Caenorhabditis elegans: one gene and its partners. The protein of the gene in region 1 interacts with the protein of each later gene in a pairwise test. Each region holds a gene or a part of one and is shown on either strand. Other genes may lie near its edges. The genes, in order: mpz-4, T01D3.6, C44C10.5 and F08D12.7.

Region 1 (4,305 bases):
TACTACTCCCAGTGAATAAAAGATAATCAGCAATTTTTAAAAAATCTTTGAAACAATAATTTCGGAAAATTTCAAATAACTTTTTTTCAACTTTTTGCAACTTTGTGCAGTTACAGACAAATTTCCATTTAGAATTTAATTGTTTTCAAATGTTAGCATTATCCGAGACATTTTTCATGCTTTTAGCCATGAATAACCAAACTCAAAATAAGTTCACGTCCCACTACTAATTGTACAGTAATCATATTTATTAATTTATAATGTTGTTGAAACATTCCATTAAATTTTTCGAACAAAACTTTTTTTCACTTTGTTTGAAGGCAGTAAAACTTTGAAGCAGTAATTTTTAAAATCTCAAGGGTAACATACTTATGGGCTAACTTTTCAGTTTTGTTTTTACAAAAAATTATCCATTTGCCCTTCTAATATAATATATTTCAGGACAGCCAAGGAGCTTCAAGTATTAATGCAATGCACCTTCCAATGGGTACACGTCCACAGAATGTACCCCATACATTGAATGTAAATACTGATGACTGGTAAGTTTTCACATAAAATTTTACACACTTCTAAAGCACGTTGCTTCACTTCTGATATACTTACCGTACTTCTATTGTAACTCTATTGTGTGCCATTTATTCACAGGTCTCAATCATCGGATTTCCGTCCAGCCTATGCAAAGGAACCATCACCACTGCAGGGTACAGTAATCCGTGGCGATGGACGGAGCCATAGAAACCACGTGTATTCGCGGGAAACTCAGGTATAATTGTGCTCCATCCGGTTCTGCCGCTTTTTATCCAAATCTGGCGTTTGTAAATAATTTTCATAATGAATTCTTATTTGTTTCAATTTGCTCAAATTATCTAATTTTGTGTGTACTTGTGTTTGTGTGTTACTTATTTATTATAGTTAGAACTTAATTTTTTTCTTTTTAAATATTAATTTTTATGCATTTTGAGATTACAACTATTCAACATACAGTACTCCTATGGAATACTGTAATTTATTCACTTTTGACCTACTTTTTGATCTCGTGCAGTGCAGTGTGTGCTTTCATTTGAACCCTTTGTGCTTTGACCCTTTTTCTGTTAGTTTTCAACTTTAATTCATTTTTTTTGCAATAAATTTACTTTTGATACATTTTTTCTAAATATAATATTTTATTTTTCCAACAGGTCGAAGAACAACCAGACGTAATCACTCGCCTTTAAAATTCATTTTTTGCATTTATTTTCCGATTTTCTTTCAAACATTCTTCCCCGTCTTGTAGGCACCGGTTTTAGGCTCTCAATTGGGTTTTGTTTGCTCTTTTTCTTCAATTTGCTGTAATTATATAATTGGTGATCGCTGATAATGTGATTGATATCAAAATGGGTAATTTATGATGTATTCCAATCGTGTAATTTTTGAAATATTCAATAAATAATTGTTCATATTCTTGTTGTTGATTAATATATCAGTGTCTATAAAAATTTAATTAAACAAGCAGTGGCAGAAAAAAATTTCAAAAAAAAATGCAGTTTCAAGACATTATTATTACTTTTTTTTAACAAAGGTAACACAAAGTAACAGTTTTTAAAAAATTCTATAGTTTCTCGAAATTGGTGAAAAAGTTTGGATTTCACAATTTAATTTGCTTCGTTGGTAAGTAATTTTCAAACTCACACGTTTCAACGATTTATTTATTTATTTATTTTAATACGATTCCATACGAATCGTGTCCCAAGAAAAAACATAAAACATAAATGATTGATTTTGAATCACGCGATTTTGCAGTTTTATGCCGAAAACATTCTCAATAAGTTCAGTTCTAAAAAAAAGTTAGAAAATCACGTTGAAAAAGATTTAATAATTCTGACCTTTGATATTTTATCTTCACGTTCGATCAATTGCTCTAATTTTTTATTCCCTCCCCCCCACCCCCTCTTATCATTGTTCTTCTCGATTCTAATTTATTTCACAACAATCGATAATTCAAGTATCAAACAAATTCAATTCAAAGCATTTGATAGCTTGAAAAGATGCCACAAGAAATTCCACCTGCAGTCAAATATAAAATCTATCCGGAAGGTGCAGAGGGAATAGACACGGTTTGGGAGCGGCCCGGATTCAAGAAGGGAGAGGTGAGAGGGGTTTTTTGGAATTTGGAAGTTGGATTTGGAATCGAAACAGTGAGAAATTTGAATAATAATTTTTGAACTTTATTCAAGATTTTTTTAATAATTAATTTATTTTTCTTCATTGTGAACAATATTTCTTGAACTAAGTAATTGAGGCAGTCGGGGGTGTTCGAAAGAATATTTTATTATAGAATCAAACTTTCTTTTTTTTAATGGTTTAATGGTTTTTTTAATGGTACACTAGTAGTGAAACATAATTTTATTTTAAAAGTTATTTCTATTCTAGAAACACGTATTTCAGATAGAAGCTCGAGTCAAAGATGTGGTCATTCTGCGTGGAGAACCAGTTCCAAACAGCTACAAAATGCTTGTAGAGGCCACATTTGAGCTCCCAAAGAAGGATAAAATAACGGTAAGCGACATCATCAATGACTTTATGTAAAACGTTTTTGATTTCCAGCAACTCGGACTCGTCAATCGACATGGGTTGGTCACTCGTGTTCATTACGCGAGCCCATTCAAAGGAGCAATTCTACCGGGTGACATCATCTTGCAAGTGAACGGTACGACTGTCTCATTCGATGAGAAACAATTGACAGAGCATGTCGACGAGACCACCGGTGGAGCAAGTCTCCAGTCAAATGTGAAGACTGTTAAGAGGAAGCCAACGACTACACCGTAAGGACAAATGTTATGAAAACTTGAAAAATATTTACCTTATTAAGGAAAACTGAACCTGTGAGAGCACCACATTCACTTTATCCAGACTTCAAGGTTGTTGTCGGAAAGATTTTGAACTCAAAATCTGAGACAAAGATTACGGTTCTGGTCGCTAGATTGAAGAACAGAATGTCTACGTCTAAGATTCCAAATGGTAAGTTTGAATATTTGTTTCTTATTGTGAAACAGTAATTTTCATATAATTTCAGGTATCTTAGCCACACAGGATCACACCATCGATTTGGCCATTCTCTACCAATTCAAATACCTGCAGCTTGGTCTGAACGTGCAGCAGGTCGACAGAAAAGTGGTGGTCAACTACACTATTCCGGATTCAGTTTCACATTGTAGTTTGAATATTGGTGAAGCTATTATTGCTGTTGATGATAAACCAATCAACACTCTGGCAGATAATCGTCAACGATTTCGCGAAGGATTTGAGGCGAATGGATGGATTCGATTGTTGGTTGAGTATCCGAATACGGATCCAATCAAAAATATGGTTCGGGGACAGCTTGCAGTTGGTTATTTGCCTCACATTTTTTTTCTTCTATTTTAATTGCAGAATGTTATGAGAACTGCCGAACGACCGCAATACTTGCTTTGTGGAGATGTCCGTAAATACTTTGTAGAAGGAATTGAAGCTCTGAAAAATGGAAAAGCGTTGGCTCCCATTTTAAAAGAGGAAGAAGGGCCGGGAGAAGTTGGGAAGAAGAAGAGTGATGCGAAAGTTACCAAAAAGTATGTTTTTAAATAAATTAAGATAAAATCTTCAACTAATTCAGGGACCCGGCTGTTGGATTCAACAACACAACTGAAGAATTTTTTATTCCGGCGGAATGGAACTCGAAGCTTTTCGTTTGGCTCCCGCCGCTGAAGACCAAGGTGACCGAATCGGCATCTTCGAACATGCCGGTTAAAAAATGAACTTCATTCTTCTTTAATAAAACATTTGACTGATCTCGGGCGGGCTCGAACCACCGACCTTCTGTGTGTTAGACAGCACAGGTAAAGCGCTAAAAGCGAGACATTAACCAAATGTACGTGAAGGCCCGCTAAAAAGCCAATGATGGGTCGCACCTAAAAATTTTTTTTTTAATTATTGGAAAATCTAACATCGGTGATGGAACAATTTAACATTTTTTGGAAAATACTTTAGTTAAACATTAATTTCAGCTAGATTGTTTTATTCAATCATTTCAAATTTCCGAAAAATTTTTTTGAAAATCAGCTTTTATATATTTTTATCAATTAAAAAAAAACACCCGTACAAGCTATTATACTCTGTTCGGCATTTGCTGCTATTTTTGACTATGCTTAAGAGTTTTATGAAATAAAAAAGAATGACTCCATATGATTTTACAGGACTTTTGAATTTTTGAAAAAATCAGCTTTTATATATTTTTATCAATTTTTAAAAAAATACTTCCGTACAAGCTATTATACTTTGATTGACAGATTC
Region 2 (6,085 bases), on another chromosome or scaffold:
TAAATACGTTGGCAAAGTGTGGCAGAAAGTTGCCTCTGAATGCCGAGGTACCAAGAAGTGCGAAGAGAGCCAATTGATAAAGCATCTTTTCTGAACTCGTTTCAAGACAGACTGAACGCCGATTTTTGTTGTGAACTTGTGTTGGCAAAATTTCCATGTTTTTGACGTGCAGTTTATTTGCAATTTGGAGTCATTTTTCAGTCACTGCACTTTTGCAAAAAAAATCAAATATAGGAGCGTTCATAAAAAAGAATTTTGCAAAGCATTGTTCGCATTCAGAGTGTTTGCAAAATCGTTTTCTATAGGTTTCTCTGTCAAAATATTTGATTGCACAACTGGCCTATCGAAAAATTAAATATGTTTTTTTGAATAATTTAAAACAAACTATTAAATTTAGAGCCGAATCATAAAGAAATACCCAATCGGCAGACTCGTGGGCATGCCATTTTCTATTAAATTTCTTGTCAAACTCAGGATCAGATCCTCGGTGAAGCTAATTATTATTTGATGTGCGAGTGGTTTCAGAATGTGAATTGTTCATTATTTTACTCGTAACAAAGATTTGAAAACTTCAAAGATACAATTTCATGTGAGAATGTTCAAAACCCAAACATATTACATATTAGTGTCATATTTTGGGAATCCAACTGGACGCAAGTACATCCACGATTGTCCGAGTGTTCCCTCGGCCCATCTCAAGTAACGCTCATTTTCAACTGGAATAACTGGGCATGTGTATCGGACACCGTTCAAGTTGGCAGCTCCACAAAGTTGATCCTCGACATACCACCATCCAGTGTTGAAGTTGGACTTGGAACATGTGTAGTAAACTGAAAATGCATTATTAGTTAGGAAATTTGAAAAGTTATAGCTCGAAAACTTACTTGCATCGCCCTCCATCTTGGCTCTCAATGTTGGTGGAATTGTGGTCTGTGCTTCAATATCCCAGGTGGAGAACTTTGGTCCATTCTGAGTCAAATCCCATCTTGCCCAACCATCTTGATAGTAATGCTCATCAGCTTCAGATCCGGTACAAGCCTCACGGATCACCACAGAGTATTGAGTGGTAGAGTCAAGAACACTGAATGTTGGGTATGTACAATCAGTAGTAAGGGATGGGCGTCCGTTGCTGGCACATCTGAAGAGGTTCAAACGAAGATTTTGTGGCTGATAGGTGGTAAGTTGGTGAATGAACTCGAGTCCAAGCCACACAGATTGAGTTGCTGGATTTCCGAATCCGATCAAGTAGTCCTGAAAAATTCACTTTAAAATTATTTGTCTCACAATCAATTCACAAATTTGGAATTAGTACTCACTTGGAATGTCTTATTAGTATTCAAATCTGCAGTATCTGAAGACATCAAAGTGTATCCTCCTCCGTTGGTTGTCATGTCGCAATAAACATTCATTGGAGCAAACTTAGCTCTTTGTGGAAGAACGAATGGTGGATTGATGGAGTTAACACCACTTTCTCTGACTCCCCAGTAGACATACAAATCGGCACAGTGACGACGTGGCTTGTAGGTGTTGCAGTTGTCTCCCAGCCAGAAGTCATCGCAGGTGCAGTGGTAAGATCCAGGAGTGTTGACACATTGTCCATGTCCGCAAATTCCGGGAGTCTCAACACATTCATTGATATCAGTACAGTTGTATCCATCTCCACGGTATCCATTGTTACACTTGCATTGCATATCAATTGAATTGAGAACGCAACTTCCATCATCTGAGCATGGACGATAGTCACTCCACATTGTTCCATTTTGGCATTCGTGATAGATTGTACAGTTCTGAGTAACCCATGGTTTTCCTGGTCTGTGAGCGTTTCCATCGGAATCAACACATCCACACTGATCAAGTCGGATACATTTGATAGATCCAGTTACAGTATTATCAATGACATATCCTGGATCACATTCACATCCATCAACACAACCTTGATCACAATACTCTGGGAATGGTTCAGCACAAGTTGATGGGCAAGATGATGTGCAAGTAGATGGATGAGCATTTAATGGGCAAGCAAGTGGACAGTTGATCTGGGCGCGCCAGTTCTGGTTCATTGCAACTTGTGGAAGAGCCAATTGACAGTATTGAAGGAAGTATGTGAACTCTGTGCACTTAAATGCTGGATTACGACAGATATCGTAAATACAATTGTAGTAGAAATCTTCAAGAGTATCATTTCCAAGTCCCTGACAAGCCCCGAATGTTCCGAGTCCCATCTCAGCTTGTTGAATTGGGTAGCACGTTTGAGAAGCTGTTGCAACATCCTGAAAAATCATAAGTTTTTGCAAAAGAAACAGGTGGAAAGGGAGAGGTTGAGCGGTACCGCGCAACTCTGGGCTAGACTAATACTAGTACTGACGCAATTTGTGTTGTTATCGAGTGTCTGGCCGTTGATACAGTTCTCTTGGCCTGGGCGAAGGATCAGGAACTTGTCGGTGATCCAGGTATCCTGAATAATTACATATGATTTCAAGTCATTCATTCAGAATCCGTACCTCAGTCTTCATGAAATCGGCATGATTGTTGTTCTCAGGTTGACGACTCGACTTGATTGCCAATACGGATCCATTCTTGTTGACGACGTCATCCAACTTCTTTCCATCAATATTTCCAGCCAATCCACACAAGGTGGTAGCTCCGTTGAACTCTGGGATGTCTGGTACTTGAACGCAAAGAGAATTGTAAGTTGTGAAAGTGACAACGACTCCTTGATCATTTTCAATTGTGAATGTAGATCCAGAGAAACGAACTCTCACGGTCCAGGTGTTTTTGTTTGGGAAGTACCATGGGGTAAGAACTTGAACTCCATTTACCAGAGCTGTCTTTGAGCGTCCATCAACGTGAATTGTTAAGTTGTGAAGATCAACTTCAACTTCAGATACTTGAGAGATGCTGAAAATTAGTGAATGAAATTTGATCTCTATGGTTTACGAGTAGTTAAACTTACTGATATCCCTTTCCTGGCAGCTCGTTCTTGGCTCTGACTGAATACCACAAATATGGAGCTGGAAGTGTTGTGCATGGTTGAGAGAATACATATGGGCAAGTTCCTTGGTAGTCGAAACGAAGACCATCATAAGTGACATAATGAGGATCTCCACTCATGCAAGCTTGTTGAACTTTCATATCACAATCTCTTCCATTTCTACGGGCTGTGTATCCTGGCTTACAAATACAGTTAAGCTGATGGTTTGCCACATAGCAATCGGCATTCTTTCCGCAAGAGTTATCCTTACACTTTATCTCATTTTGGCAGAATCTTCCAGATGCATAGTCTGGGCAGACACAGCTGAAAATAGAACTTTTTTTTAAATTGTTGAAGCTTTAAACGTACTAGAAATATTGCCATGGGAATCGTGCGTCTGGAACGCACTGTCCGCTGTTACAAAGTCCTGGTTGACTGCAAATACTGCATTGTGGTGATACTGTGGCGGCGAGGTCTCCGGTGACAGCAACCTGAAATAATAATCTTTGTTCTAAAAAGTTTTAAGATTAAACACTCACTTCGTTCAGGAAATTGCGAACCGCACTTTCGTCCCTAATCGGCTTTGTGAGTGGTGCCAAGTATTCATCGTGTTTCTCCTTTTGGTAATGGCTGATCATGGCGAGAAGAGTTTCTTTCGATTCACATTCGAGGCCGGAGCATTGTTCACTGGAATTAGATAAATAGATAATTGGAGAAAATAGAGTACTGTCTTGTTGGACTAGATTTTGAAGAAAAATTGATATTCACTGGGCTTTTCAGATCTAGCTAAAAATTGTTTATTCTAAAAAAAATATTAACTCTCATTCCGACTTTTCTGAACAAATAACAGTATAAGGAAAAAGTATGTTTTTAAAAATCACATTTCATAGTATTTAATTTTAAGTCAAAATCTATGAACACAAATTTCTACAGTAACCCTTCAGAACTTACGTATCATCCATATAATGTGGAACCTCACAATCAGCTCCATAACACTTGAGGTCATCCTCGGCTGCAGCGAGAGTTAAAAGAAGGCATAAAGCCAAATGTTTGAAGAGAGCCATTGTGCTCTTCCTCTCCACACAAACTGAAACTCTTCAGGCCCTTATAAACTATTCTTATCAGAGTTTCTGCCCTCTACCTGAAATCATCGTCATAGAATTCACATCGTTGGACTAGTTTGCTCTTTTCCCACAAATACAATTATTATCAGTGTGCTCCGCGACATTTCCACTTGATTCATAGTGTTGAAGGCGATTATCATAGTGTTATATATTTGAATAGGGAAATGCTGAAGATTGGAGGAGCGAAGAAATTGTAAAGAAAACGATAATTCGGGTGCAAACTATCAACTCATCATCATCGTTTTCGTCATGATTCTCTTTGAAGCTTCTCGGAGAAAAACGTGAGTAATTAACCTTTCAGCTGTTTCCGATAATTTACCATTTCCTGAATCAATGATGACTTTTTTTGAAGATCGTGCGAAAATTGTTTCTTTGGTCTTCTTTCTGAAACCACGCCTATGCGGAATTCATCTAGAAAATTTTTAACTTTAGAACAATGTTCTATGAGACTGGCACAAGTTACATCGTCGGCACACGTAATAAAACTTTTGAAGATAATAAGTTCAATATTATTTGTTTTATTGATGAAGGTCTTGTGGTTTCAAGTTTCTGATATCGAAAGGGCACAGGTGGTCTCTCCCACGCGGGTGTAGCCTGCAGCCCACTGGAAAGTTGAAAATTGTTTTGAAGAATATATATCATGCTCAAGAATTGAAATGGGTACAAAATTTTCAAAATTTACTGTTATTTAATTTAAAAAATCGAACGCTGATATTTACATTAGCCAGCAGTGAAATTATACGACTTTTGCACCAAAAATACGGTGCCCGGTCTCGCCACGACAAGTGTTTGTCAAATGCGAAAGAATGTGCGCCTTTAAAGAGTACTGTATTTTCGAACTCTCGTTTCTGCCGAATTTTATCGATTTTTCTAAGTTTCTGCCACAATTTGTGTAAATTTATGTTTTTTTTTACTGTTGAACGATTAAAATTCGCCAGAAACAAAAGTTCCAACTTACAGTACTCTTTAAAGGCGCACATCCTTTTGCATTTGACAGAAATTTGTCGTGTCGATACCGGCTATCGTATTTTTAGCGCATACATCGCAAAATTTCGCATCTGGGTAATTCTTTTTTGTTTTCAGGTCGCTGTTTTAATGTTTCAATGTCACATTGAATCCACATATCAAAATGAGATCACACAAATTCCCGGAAAGGCACACTCCGCAGAATTACAAATTCTAATGATCCCTATTTTTCCAGCTACAAGTATAAATTTTCAAATAACGTTTATGGAATTTGAGAATATTCTAACAGATTATTTAATTTAAAATTGCGTCCTCGTTAACATACCTCATGAGAAATCCGTTTCTCCAGATAATGTTTCCCACAGCGTGTGTGACGTGTCAACGCAACCGCGCTCTACCGCACGCATTAAATGAATTTTTTCTTTTGCTTTGTTTTCACTGTTTTCAGTTTTATCGGCGCTTCATCTCTATTCGTTTTGCCAATTCATGTTCTTTCACTTGCCAAAAAACGTAACCTGGACTTTTCTATTTGTTAAAACATTTTATTTACATAAATTATTGATTTTCAGACAATGGAGGGGGTAAGTTTCCTCTTGGTGCTCTCATCGGCAATGTTTTTTGGCAGCTACATGGCCGGCTCGATACCTTTGATGTTCAGTTTATCTGAAGTGAGTTTTTTGTTTTTCTGATTCAAATAATTTTTTTTTAATTGCAGTCTCGAATTCGATTAGTGAGTATATTCGGCGCTGGACTGCTCGTTGGAACTGCGCTTTCGGTTATTATTCCAGAAGGAATTGAAGCTTTGTATGGAGCACAGTGTGGTAAATATATTTTTTAGTGAAAAATTATTATTTAAAACCAACTTTCAGGCGCTGTCCATCAACACAACCATCACGACCATATAAATCCGGTTGTATCACCTGAAGGAGCGATTGTGAATCCAGCTGAAGCAAAGCAAATTCTAGAAAATGCGAAGGATAAAGAGGATAACTTACCAAGAATTATACCAAAAAATGCAGTTTTA
Region 3 (4,833 bases), on another chromosome or scaffold:
GAACTAATTTATTTTGAAAATTGACCTGTGGACCTATAACTTTGGAGATATGGTAAATTGAGTATGGGCTTTTAGATTTTCACGTTTTTAGGTGATTATCTAGGTCACGAACTAATTTATTTAGCAAGTTGGCCTGTTAGCCTATAACTTTGGGGATATGGGTAATCAAGTATGGGCTTTCAGATTTTCACGTTTTTACGCGGTTATCTAGGTTACGAACTAATTTAATTTGTAAATGAACTTGTGTGACTATAACTTTGGGGATATGTAATCAAGTATGGGATTCGGAATTTCACGTTTTCAGGTGATTAGCTAGGTCATGAACTCAACATTTTTAAAAATTCAGTTATGCTTGTATAAATTTTGTGACAAGCGTAGTCAAGTTCTAATTTTCAGAGTTTTATGTTTTATGTAATATGCTCTTTTATTCATTAGTTTCAGTCAGAAAATACATAATAACCGAAGTGTCGGAGCAAGATAAGCAAGTTTGTGAATTTTTATGAATCTTCCTTGTCTTCTTTTTTGAACTTTTATAAGAGTAATAACGAGATTTCATTGTAGATTAGAGGAGGGTGTCAGAACAGTTGAAAATGGCCGTGGCCGAACTTTGCCGCGTGTACTCCTCTCGGATAAAATAACATTTGAATTTATTAACAATAAACTTGATCTTTTGTAGAGTTTTCCATATTACTTTTATTTCTTTAGCCTTGTTTTCGAGTTTTTCAGTACAATTCAGTACATAATCATAGTTGCAAAATCATAATTAATTCAAAAAAAAAACTATTGGTTGAAAATTTGATTGTACAATAGATAAGATTTCCAGTTTTATTGCTCCATGCAACTAAATAATTTTTAAAACTAGTGTATTAGAGTTTTTAATTTCTCAACATCCGCTGTAGAGAGATTTTTGTATTACCCTTGCTTTTTCTCACTTGAATACGTTTTTTTAACGTGAGACGGCCTGTTATATTTATAACTTTTCAATTTCCACCTGGACTGTTTTGCTCTCGGACTGTTTTGTCGTCTAGAGAAATATCTAATTTTCACTTTTTCAGTTAGTCACTATAACTTCTACAGCTTAGCAAAAACAGTGCAAACTGTTTCAGAAAACCGCCCGTCCTTATAGCTTTGACAAATGTATACTTTTTTGTGGCCTTTCAAGATTTTGGAAAAACTATCCTAATTTCACCACTTTTCAGTGTCGAAGCTGTCCGAACTTGACACGTTTCTGAATAATAATTTTTTATTAAATATTTTAGTAGTTTATCTCATGCCATTTTATTGATTAAGTTACCTTTAAAGACGTTAGGCCACCAATTTTGGTGATTTTTGGTTACCTATCGGGTTAAAAATTATCTTAACCTCAACAAAATAAAATTAGATAAAATACGTAAAGGATGGTAATCTAATGAAAAGTAATTTCCAAAACCTGCGGCTCGGAAAATTGCGCAAGATTTGAGGTTTCAGCAAAAATAGTGTCAAAAAATGATGTTTCAAACTAATTCCCCTCTAACGATCCTCCTCCTGCAGATGTATTAGTTTTTCCCAATTCATCGCACCTGCCAAAAGATTTTCCCGGCCGAGAGTCTCGCTGTGTGTGACAAGAATGTAGTCTTGAACCATTGGCCGACCGTTTCCAAGATAATGGATCGTGAGATCACAACCCGAAAAAGATGTTGCAAGACAACATTTACAGCGTTATCGATCACCCATCATTTCATCTATTTATTCTTGCCTCTTTCCATGTCGGCCAGCGGAGGCTTTATTATTAAATTGATAGATTCGGTGTGTGCCTAGATTATTTTGTGCTCTATTTATTCATCACGTTAAATATTTTGTCTCCAAATAATTAATCCACTTTAAATTTTGTTTTTCAGATGACGCAGTTGTTGAGTATATCCGTCAAAAATTTTATGTGTCTAGAGGACGTGAAATACGAGTCTTTCGGCAAGATCACCACAATCACGGGACCAAATGGATGCGGAAAATCTGCATTGGTCCGGGCGATTGGAATTCTTACAGGAGATGAGGTGACGGAGTCTTCCAATCAGCAATATGCGGTGAGATTTGGAAAATATATAAATTTTTGGTACTTGTGGGTTTCGTTCCCCCCAAAATGATTTTTAATTATGTAACACTACCTTTTTATTTAAATCCACACGTGAATGTTTATTTTAATACGGTTTTCATTTTTACAAGGCTTAGAAAATCATTTCACTAAGCCTGAGAATGAAAAAAAAAGTTTACGTCTCAATTAGAAAATATGGAAATCATTTTGGGGGGAACGAAACCCATAAGTACCAAAATTTTAATTCAATTTAAATTTCAGGATTTTCTTCTTGACACCAGCCATCCGTGTGTTCTTATCATGGCTTGAAAACTGCCAGAAAAACGACCAAGTCGTTTAAATGCACGATTGACACAACTGACCGTACTTTCATGGTTGACAACTTGCATCGCACGAGAGAGGAGTATTTGCGGGAGCTTGATGACATCACACTTCGTGTTCACGGCAGAAAATTATCCGTCTACAGCTCGTCGTCAAAAGTTACACAAGATAACGCTGAAGATTTTGGTTTATTTTTGGAGGCTATCTTCGACTCAATTGAGCACAAGCCAAAGTACGATTGACTTTGCATTATGATTGAAGAATCTAAACAAAAAGTCGAAAAACACACGAAAATGAAAGAATTGATACAAGTGGAGCAGGGACAATTCATTTCTCTTCATCTCTACAGATTGTTTTTGAACGATTTGGAGAGAAAGTCATTAGAGAAAAAATTGACAAAGGAGCAAGTTAAACTCACCAATATCAAGGTTCGTTTATACTTTTTTGACACTTTGATTAAGCAGTTTGTTTACTGAGAGACTATATATCTTTCATTTATTTACTCAATCAAAATAAGAAAAACGTTTTAACAAGCCAATTTTTTCAGGCATCAAAACAATCGCAGAAAGTTACAAAAAGTGATGATCCAAAAGCAATTGCAAAACAAGCTCCTCCCGCAATGTTCAAGGTTCAAGGCTGTTCAAGGCTGGATGGTGACAGTTTATCCCAAGAGAACGCAGAAAAACCGGCTATTGTCATCGAACTAGAAAATCGACTCGTCCAACAACGTGCACAACGTCGAAAAATCATTGCAAATGTCACTTTACAGGATCTTGATATTCCTGCCAAAGAAGCAGGTATGTGACTCTGAATACAGTTTCAAATAGCATGGATTTACTTCAATATTTAGGTACGTTTTCCTACGACGTCAAACCGGATTATTCCTCCTTACCAGATGAGTTGAAGAAGGTAAGAAAATTTGCCGCCATTTGAAGAAAATTATTCAATTTCAGGAAAGCAACGATGCTGAAACAGTTAAGATGCATCTGCGTACTTTGGAGGAAACGATCCAGGCAACTCGTAACGAATGGGTTGCTGTCAATGGAGCAGAGTATCCGGATATGAGTAATATTTTAATAAGATTCCACGAGACGGACAGCTTTATTAACATAGCAAAGTTACGCACAACTGAGCTAGAAGCCGAAATTGAACAGGTTTATTTAATGTTTTTTTCTGTTTAAATTTTTATGAATTTCTCTGTACCTGTGTATAGAATTACCTTGGTTTTTTGAAGACATTGTTTCATTTCAGGTCAAAGCCAGTCGCCGTACTCATTTCAATCAACGCCTTGCTGCAGTATCATCGTCTGTGAGCAGAATCTATAGAGAGATTTCTGAGGATCCGGATTCCACCGTTTCACTTGCGTCATCCAATGAGGATGAACCGTATGAATGTTGATCTGTTTGTCGGAGGAATAAATGAAGATCTCGAGCCAACTCGCTTCCACCGCGGCGGATCAAGAGGAATCGTTGCTAATCTGGCTCTTGTTCTTGCACTTCACGAGCAAACGGCTTATTTGAAAAATGTGCAAACGCCTTCACCACTCCTCGTGGTTGATGACATTGACAAAAGAATGTCGGAAACGACAAGCAATAAGGTTGGTCAAAAAACAGAAGCTACGGCTCATCTAAAGATAAATTCACTGTTTAATTAAACAAATTTCAGGTCTGTTCGTATCTCACCGGCCAGGACAATACTCAATACATTGTAACCACCCACAACGACAGTTACTTCACTAAACACACCACAACTTTCAGCATGCCAGATATCTAATGTCTTTTTTTACGTGTATCTATTACAATGTTGATACATTTACAAAATATAAAGCCTGACGAAAATTCCTTCACGAACATTCCCGACCATACTCGTCTTTCTTAAATCCGAAGTCCCAAGCTATTTCAATGTGATTAGTATAATAAAGGCAGTTTACCACACTTTCGTTCTTTTTTAATATTCATAATAATAATACTTTTTTGTTATTGTTTGCTAGATAATACTAAAGACTATAGATATAAATATTGTCGGTTCAATTCCATTTCTGAGACGGAGAGCATGAAGTACATTTTCTGATTTAAATACATACTCGGCAAATCATTTCTTTCCCGTTCAACTGCTTTTTACACGATTTTGGCCATTTCTACAACAGTGTCGATAGTTTTTGTTTTGCAGATAGACGCAGAGAAAACCAGCACCCATACGAATGCAGGGTTTCTCCCTCGCTGCACTTGTGGCCGTGGCCTAAGAATACAAGACGTGCTCATCATTGTCTGCTATTTTTTTTGAATTAACTATTTGCGTTTGTTTTTTTTTGTCTTTTTTGTCTTCAATTTTCTTGTTTTAAAAATGTTATTTATCACAATTTGATGTTGATTCTGACCGCTTTTTTTAAATTTGTTTAATTGCAGACATGACGTACCCGCAGCAACGACTACTAACAGTTGACA
Region 4 (3,951 bases), on another chromosome or scaffold:
GATATTCAACAAATTAGTATCAAAGCATTTTTATCAATTGATATTAATATTTTGTCACACAATCAAGAAGTAACTTCGTTGGTTTTCTTCAAGAAAGACTATGGTCGATGGAATTTTGAGAGTTGCGAATCAGTAACCGCCACAGAAACTTTGACACCGTTGGAGCCCGAGTCTGACAGAGTATGGGTGAAAAGAGGATTCAAACTTCGGGATTGGATCGATCATGTTATGGAAATATTCAATTGCTCGAGGATTCACGAAATTTACATTTCCAGAATAGGTCATGAAGAGCACTATATAAGTTTGAGCAATGCAGTGAAGGAACTAAAAACTGAGACAATTTTTTTTAGTTTTTGCTCGGATACTGTTGTCCAGAGTGTAGTCGCCAATGTCCAAAGCAATGATATATCCTTTAATTTATCATTCAACATTGAACCGTCCATGCAAAAGCATAAAGTACTTACTCGACACTTCGAACGTGTTTCATTTTCCAAAGATGATACTAGAGAAGCTCTCACGTTAAATGATTTATTGATCACCAACGTCTCCCAACTAAATATTTCCGCTCATCATCTGTCTTTCGAAGAGTTGAACATTTTCATCAGGCACTTGATTAGTGGATCGAATCGGAGGCTCAAAATTGTCGGCATTGTTTGTGCTGAAGCGACCAGGAACATGCAAATTTTGTTGAAAGGAATTTCTCACTCGGTGTACTCGGCGGAGCTAAAAATTGTGGCTCGAAACGAAAACGACTACCAACTTGGTGATACTATCTATGTATACCAAAATTGTGGAAGAAGGTTGGCGATGCAGACGTACTTATTTGAAGGAGTTGAGAAAATTGTAATGCGAGTTTATTGACTTTATTGTATAACTGTGTTGGTCTGTGTAATACCTTTTTATTTTCTACAATTTTCTACAACTCTCCAACCCTGCAAAACTTTTTTGCCACTTCTTTTGTTCGGGCTATTATTCATGATTTTTTGTTTCCTCATTTTTTTTGTTTTTTTTTTCTAACTTCTAAATTTTATGTAACTTTTTCCTCTCTTTTTCCCCCTAAGCCTAAGCCTAAGCCTAGGCCTAGGCCTAAGCCCAAGCTTTTCTACTTGCATCGAATACACTAATAAATGTTAAAACTATTGAAAAACAGATGACTCAGGTTCAATTAAAAAATGTGATAATAAATATTAATATTTTTCTTTTAAATGTGACCTATCACTTTTGAACGTTTTAAGAGTTTTAGCTTTACTCAACTAAATTTAAACTACCGGAAAACTCTTTAAAAATCTCTATTTTTGTTTAAATTATAAAGTGTTTAGGCAAATTTCACCCAGGGAACATGTGTCACATGTTTTTTGCTCTCCCTCTCATCCCCCACTGCTTAAAGATCTTCTCGGAGGATGCGCCACCTGTCGTCAATTTGTTGTGATGTTTGAAGACAGAGAAATCAGAAACAGATAGATAGACATTTCGTTTTGATATAAAAATACATTTTGATTTGTGTTTCCGAATTTTTAATCGAATTTATATTCCAGCCATGCTAAAACCAACTTTAACATTTTACTTAACACTTCTGTACACCCTGAGCCCGGTGAGCTCTCAAAACTCCACTGAGCCGTGCGACTCGGACAAGTGTCTCCTGATGGTCGCAGAGCTTGGGCCGATTATCAGCAAGCATGAGCACGTGAAGCCCAAAGCCGAGACTCTGAAAAAGATGAATGATTTGTGTACAGATATTAAGGTTAGGCTTAGATATCGGATTTTCCAGAAATTTCAATAATTTCTCATATATTCCAGACGTGTTTTAAAGCAGCGACGTGTAAAAAAGGAGCCCATACCTATGAAAGTATGAGGGATGCCTGTGATGGGCTCGAGTTGATGACCGGAAATGTGCAGCCTTGCATGACAAAGTTCTATTTAGCAGTGTATAATGAGAAGTACAATTGCACAGGAGAACGGGATTATTTGACTGTGAGTCTGGAGCTTTTTATTTCAAATGTGCACTCAAAAAAAATTAAAATAATTCCAGGACGACCTCCCAGCTCGCCGCGTATCCTACACATCAGGCCGGTTCTGCTTCTTCCAGGTCATTGGCAAGGAATGCTCCGAGGAGACTGTAGCCATCCTGAGCTCCAACTTCAACTATGACAACCTGATTAATGTGCTCACAACTGTGCCGGGAGGCTTTCAGGACAACTGCAATAGACTGCACCATGCGTTCAATAAACTTCAGTGTGAAGCTCTGGAAAGTGGTATTGTGGCGAAGGAGCGGGAGATCAACTGGGTAGACGTACAGTCGAATGACACGAATTTGGTGGAGTTTCTGCAGCTTTTTGAGGATGCAGAGGCAAGATTTTAGCGTTGATTGTGGTATACACCATTGAAAATTTCCGGAAAATCGGCAAATTCCGCAACTTGATAATTTGCCGAATTTGCCGGAAAAAACGGAAAAATTTCGGGAAGTGGGCAAATTGGCGCAATTGAAATTTCCGGCAAATCGACAAATTGGCAAATTATTGAAAATTTCCGGCAAAACGGCAAATTGCTTAAATTGAACATTTCTGGCAACCCGGAAAATCGTTGGAATTGAAGATTTCCGGCAAATCGGCAAATTGCTCGAATTTTCGGCAAGTCGGCAAATCGGCAGTTTGCTGGAATTGAAACTTTCCGGCAAATCGCAAAACCAGCAAATTGCCGAAAATGAAAATTTCTGGCAAACCGACAAACTGCCGGAATTGAAATTTCCGGCAAATCGGCAAATTGCCGGAATTAAAAATTGGGCTAATCGGCAAATCGGCAAATTGACAAGCTGACAATTTGTCGAAAATACAATTTTCTGGCAAGTCGGCAAACCTGTAAATGGTCGGAATTGAACATTTCCTGCAAATCGGCAAATCGGCAACTTGCTGGATTATAAAATTTCCGGCAAATCGGCAAATTGGCAAAATATTGAAAATTTCCGGCAAATCGGCATATTGCTGAAATTGAAAATGCCGCTAATCCCTGATATACGTAAACTATAAGCTATCAGCTAAATTTTCAAATTTTCCAAAATCCGTTCTCATTCCAGAAATGCATCTCAAAATCATGCTCCTACAACGACCTGGAACGCCTGATCTTCCAGAGCAAAAAGGACTGGTTTGAGCTCTACAGCACCGAGTTTTTCATCTGCAAACGGAAGATGATGCTCGACAAGCCGACCGCAAAAAAGTTCCCCTGCATCGGGGACCATAACATTGCGGGCTCGAAAAAAGAAGAAACATGTGAGCGGCACACAAAGCTGAAAGAATGCACGAGGACTGTTATGGAAGCTTCGTGTGGGAAGAAGGCTGTTGAGAATTATGAGAAAACCGCCGAGACAATTAAGAAACATTTTGGGTGTTGATGAATAAAAGGTTTATAGTCAAAAGTATTGAAAAAAGTCTCATTCAATAGTAATCACAGTAGAACAACGTATACTATCCAATTTCCAGTCCAAATGCATCATTGTTTCGTCATTTTGGGTGAACTTGATGCGTTTTTCAAGTTTATGGTTATTGCCGGGGTTTTTATTCCAGATTGAATAAGAAATCCCTTTCATCGAATCCTCCACCTTCCAGATTCCTTCATTAGTTCGATGAAGCTCGACTGTTTCCAGCTGTCGATTAGGTTGAGCTATATATAGCCTAATGAAAATGTTTAATTCCTGGGAAGACAATTTACAAGGGAATAGGCATAGTTTGGAGCAGTTCATGAGGAGTACATCGTCCAGCTGTAAATTTTTTCCGCGACCAGGAAGCTCATATGAAACTGAACCCAAATTGAGACAGTGAATTTTATGATTTGGCATTAGATGTCTTTCTGGGAATAGAGAAAAATAGGTGATTTTCTTGTGTTGATCATTGTTGATGCAATTCTCCAGCATAGTCTTTGGGACGGTTACTGAATCGCAAGACTGCAAGTCCCAATTGA

What was found.
Region 2: the proteins of mpz-4 (region 1) and T01D3.6 interact in a two-hybrid assay, tested with the Caenorhabditis elegans proteins (one large-scale study listed by BioGRID).
Region 3: the proteins of mpz-4 (region 1) and C44C10.5 interact in a two-hybrid assay, tested with the Caenorhabditis elegans proteins (one large-scale study listed by BioGRID).
Region 4: the proteins of mpz-4 (region 1) and F08D12.7 interact in a two-hybrid assay, tested with the Caenorhabditis elegans proteins (one large-scale study listed by BioGRID).

Annotation. Positions count from the first base shown.
Region 1 is NC_003282.8:4,824,985-4,829,289, reverse strand, and holds mpz-4 (PDZ domain-containing protein), read left to right. Parts: upstream 1-1,969; 5' UTR 1,970-2,024; coding exon 2,025-2,126; intron 2,127-2,424; coding exon 2,425-2,535; intron 2,536-2,583; coding exon 2,584-2,801; intron 2,802-2,848; coding exon 2,849-2,997; intron 2,998-3,052; coding exon 3,053-3,363; intron 3,364-3,408; coding exon 3,409-3,584; intron 3,585-3,628; coding exon 3,629-3,770; 3' UTR 3,771-3,802; downstream 3,803-4,305. Other genes in the region: tat-2 (Phospholipid-transporting ATPase), read left to right, coding at 442-539, 646-763, 1,179-1,214.
Region 2 is NC_003283.11:13,714,819-13,720,903, reverse strand, and holds T01D3.6 (IgGFc-binding protein-like), read right to left. Parts: upstream 4,056-6,085; 5' UTR 4,036-4,055; coding exon 3,923-4,035; intron 3,659-3,922; coding exon 3,511-3,658; intron 3,463-3,510; coding exon 3,341-3,462; intron 3,296-3,340; coding exon 2,954-3,295; intron 2,899-2,953; coding exon 2,502-2,898; intron 2,456-2,501; coding exon 2,330-2,455; intron 2,271-2,329; coding exon 1,317-2,270; intron 1,252-1,316; coding exon 885-1,251; intron 831-884; coding exon 616-830; 3' UTR 502-615; downstream 1-501. Other genes in the region: zipt-9 (Zinc transporter ZIP9), read left to right, coding at 5,634-5,729, 5,777-5,882, 5,931-6,085.
Region 3 is NC_003284.9:11,688,670-11,693,502, forward strand, and holds C44C10.5 (DUF4456 domain-containing protein), read left to right. Parts: upstream 1-1,871; 5' UTR 1,872-1,877; coding exon of another isoform or gene 1,878-2,120; intron 2,121-2,329; 5' UTR 2,330-2,640; coding exon 2,641-2,817; intron 2,818-2,936; coding exon 2,937-3,186; intron 3,187-3,239; coding exon 3,240-3,298; intron 3,299-3,342; coding exon 3,343-3,543; intron 3,544-3,640; coding exon 3,641-3,787; 3' UTR 3,788-3,986; intron 3,987-4,054; 3' UTR 4,055-4,298; downstream 4,299-4,833. Other genes in the region: C44C10.10 (Rad50/SbcC-type AAA domain-containing protein), read left to right, coding at 1,645-1,785, 1,878-2,120; smcl-1 (Structural maintenance of chromosomes-like protein 1), read left to right, coding at 4,797-4,833.
Region 4 is NC_003280.10:2,766,704-2,770,654, reverse strand, and holds F08D12.7 (T20D4.11-like domain-containing protein), read left to right. Parts: upstream 1-1,533; 5' UTR 1,534-1,537; coding exon 1,538-1,741; intron 1,742-1,797; coding exon 1,798-1,971; intron 1,972-2,029; coding exon 2,030-2,347; intron 2,348-3,070; coding exon 3,071-3,385; 3' UTR 3,386-3,405; downstream 3,406-3,951. Other genes in the region: fbxb-105 (F-box domain-containing protein), read left to right, coding at 1-861; F08D12.15 (F-box associated domain-containing protein), read right to left, coding at 3,425-3,951.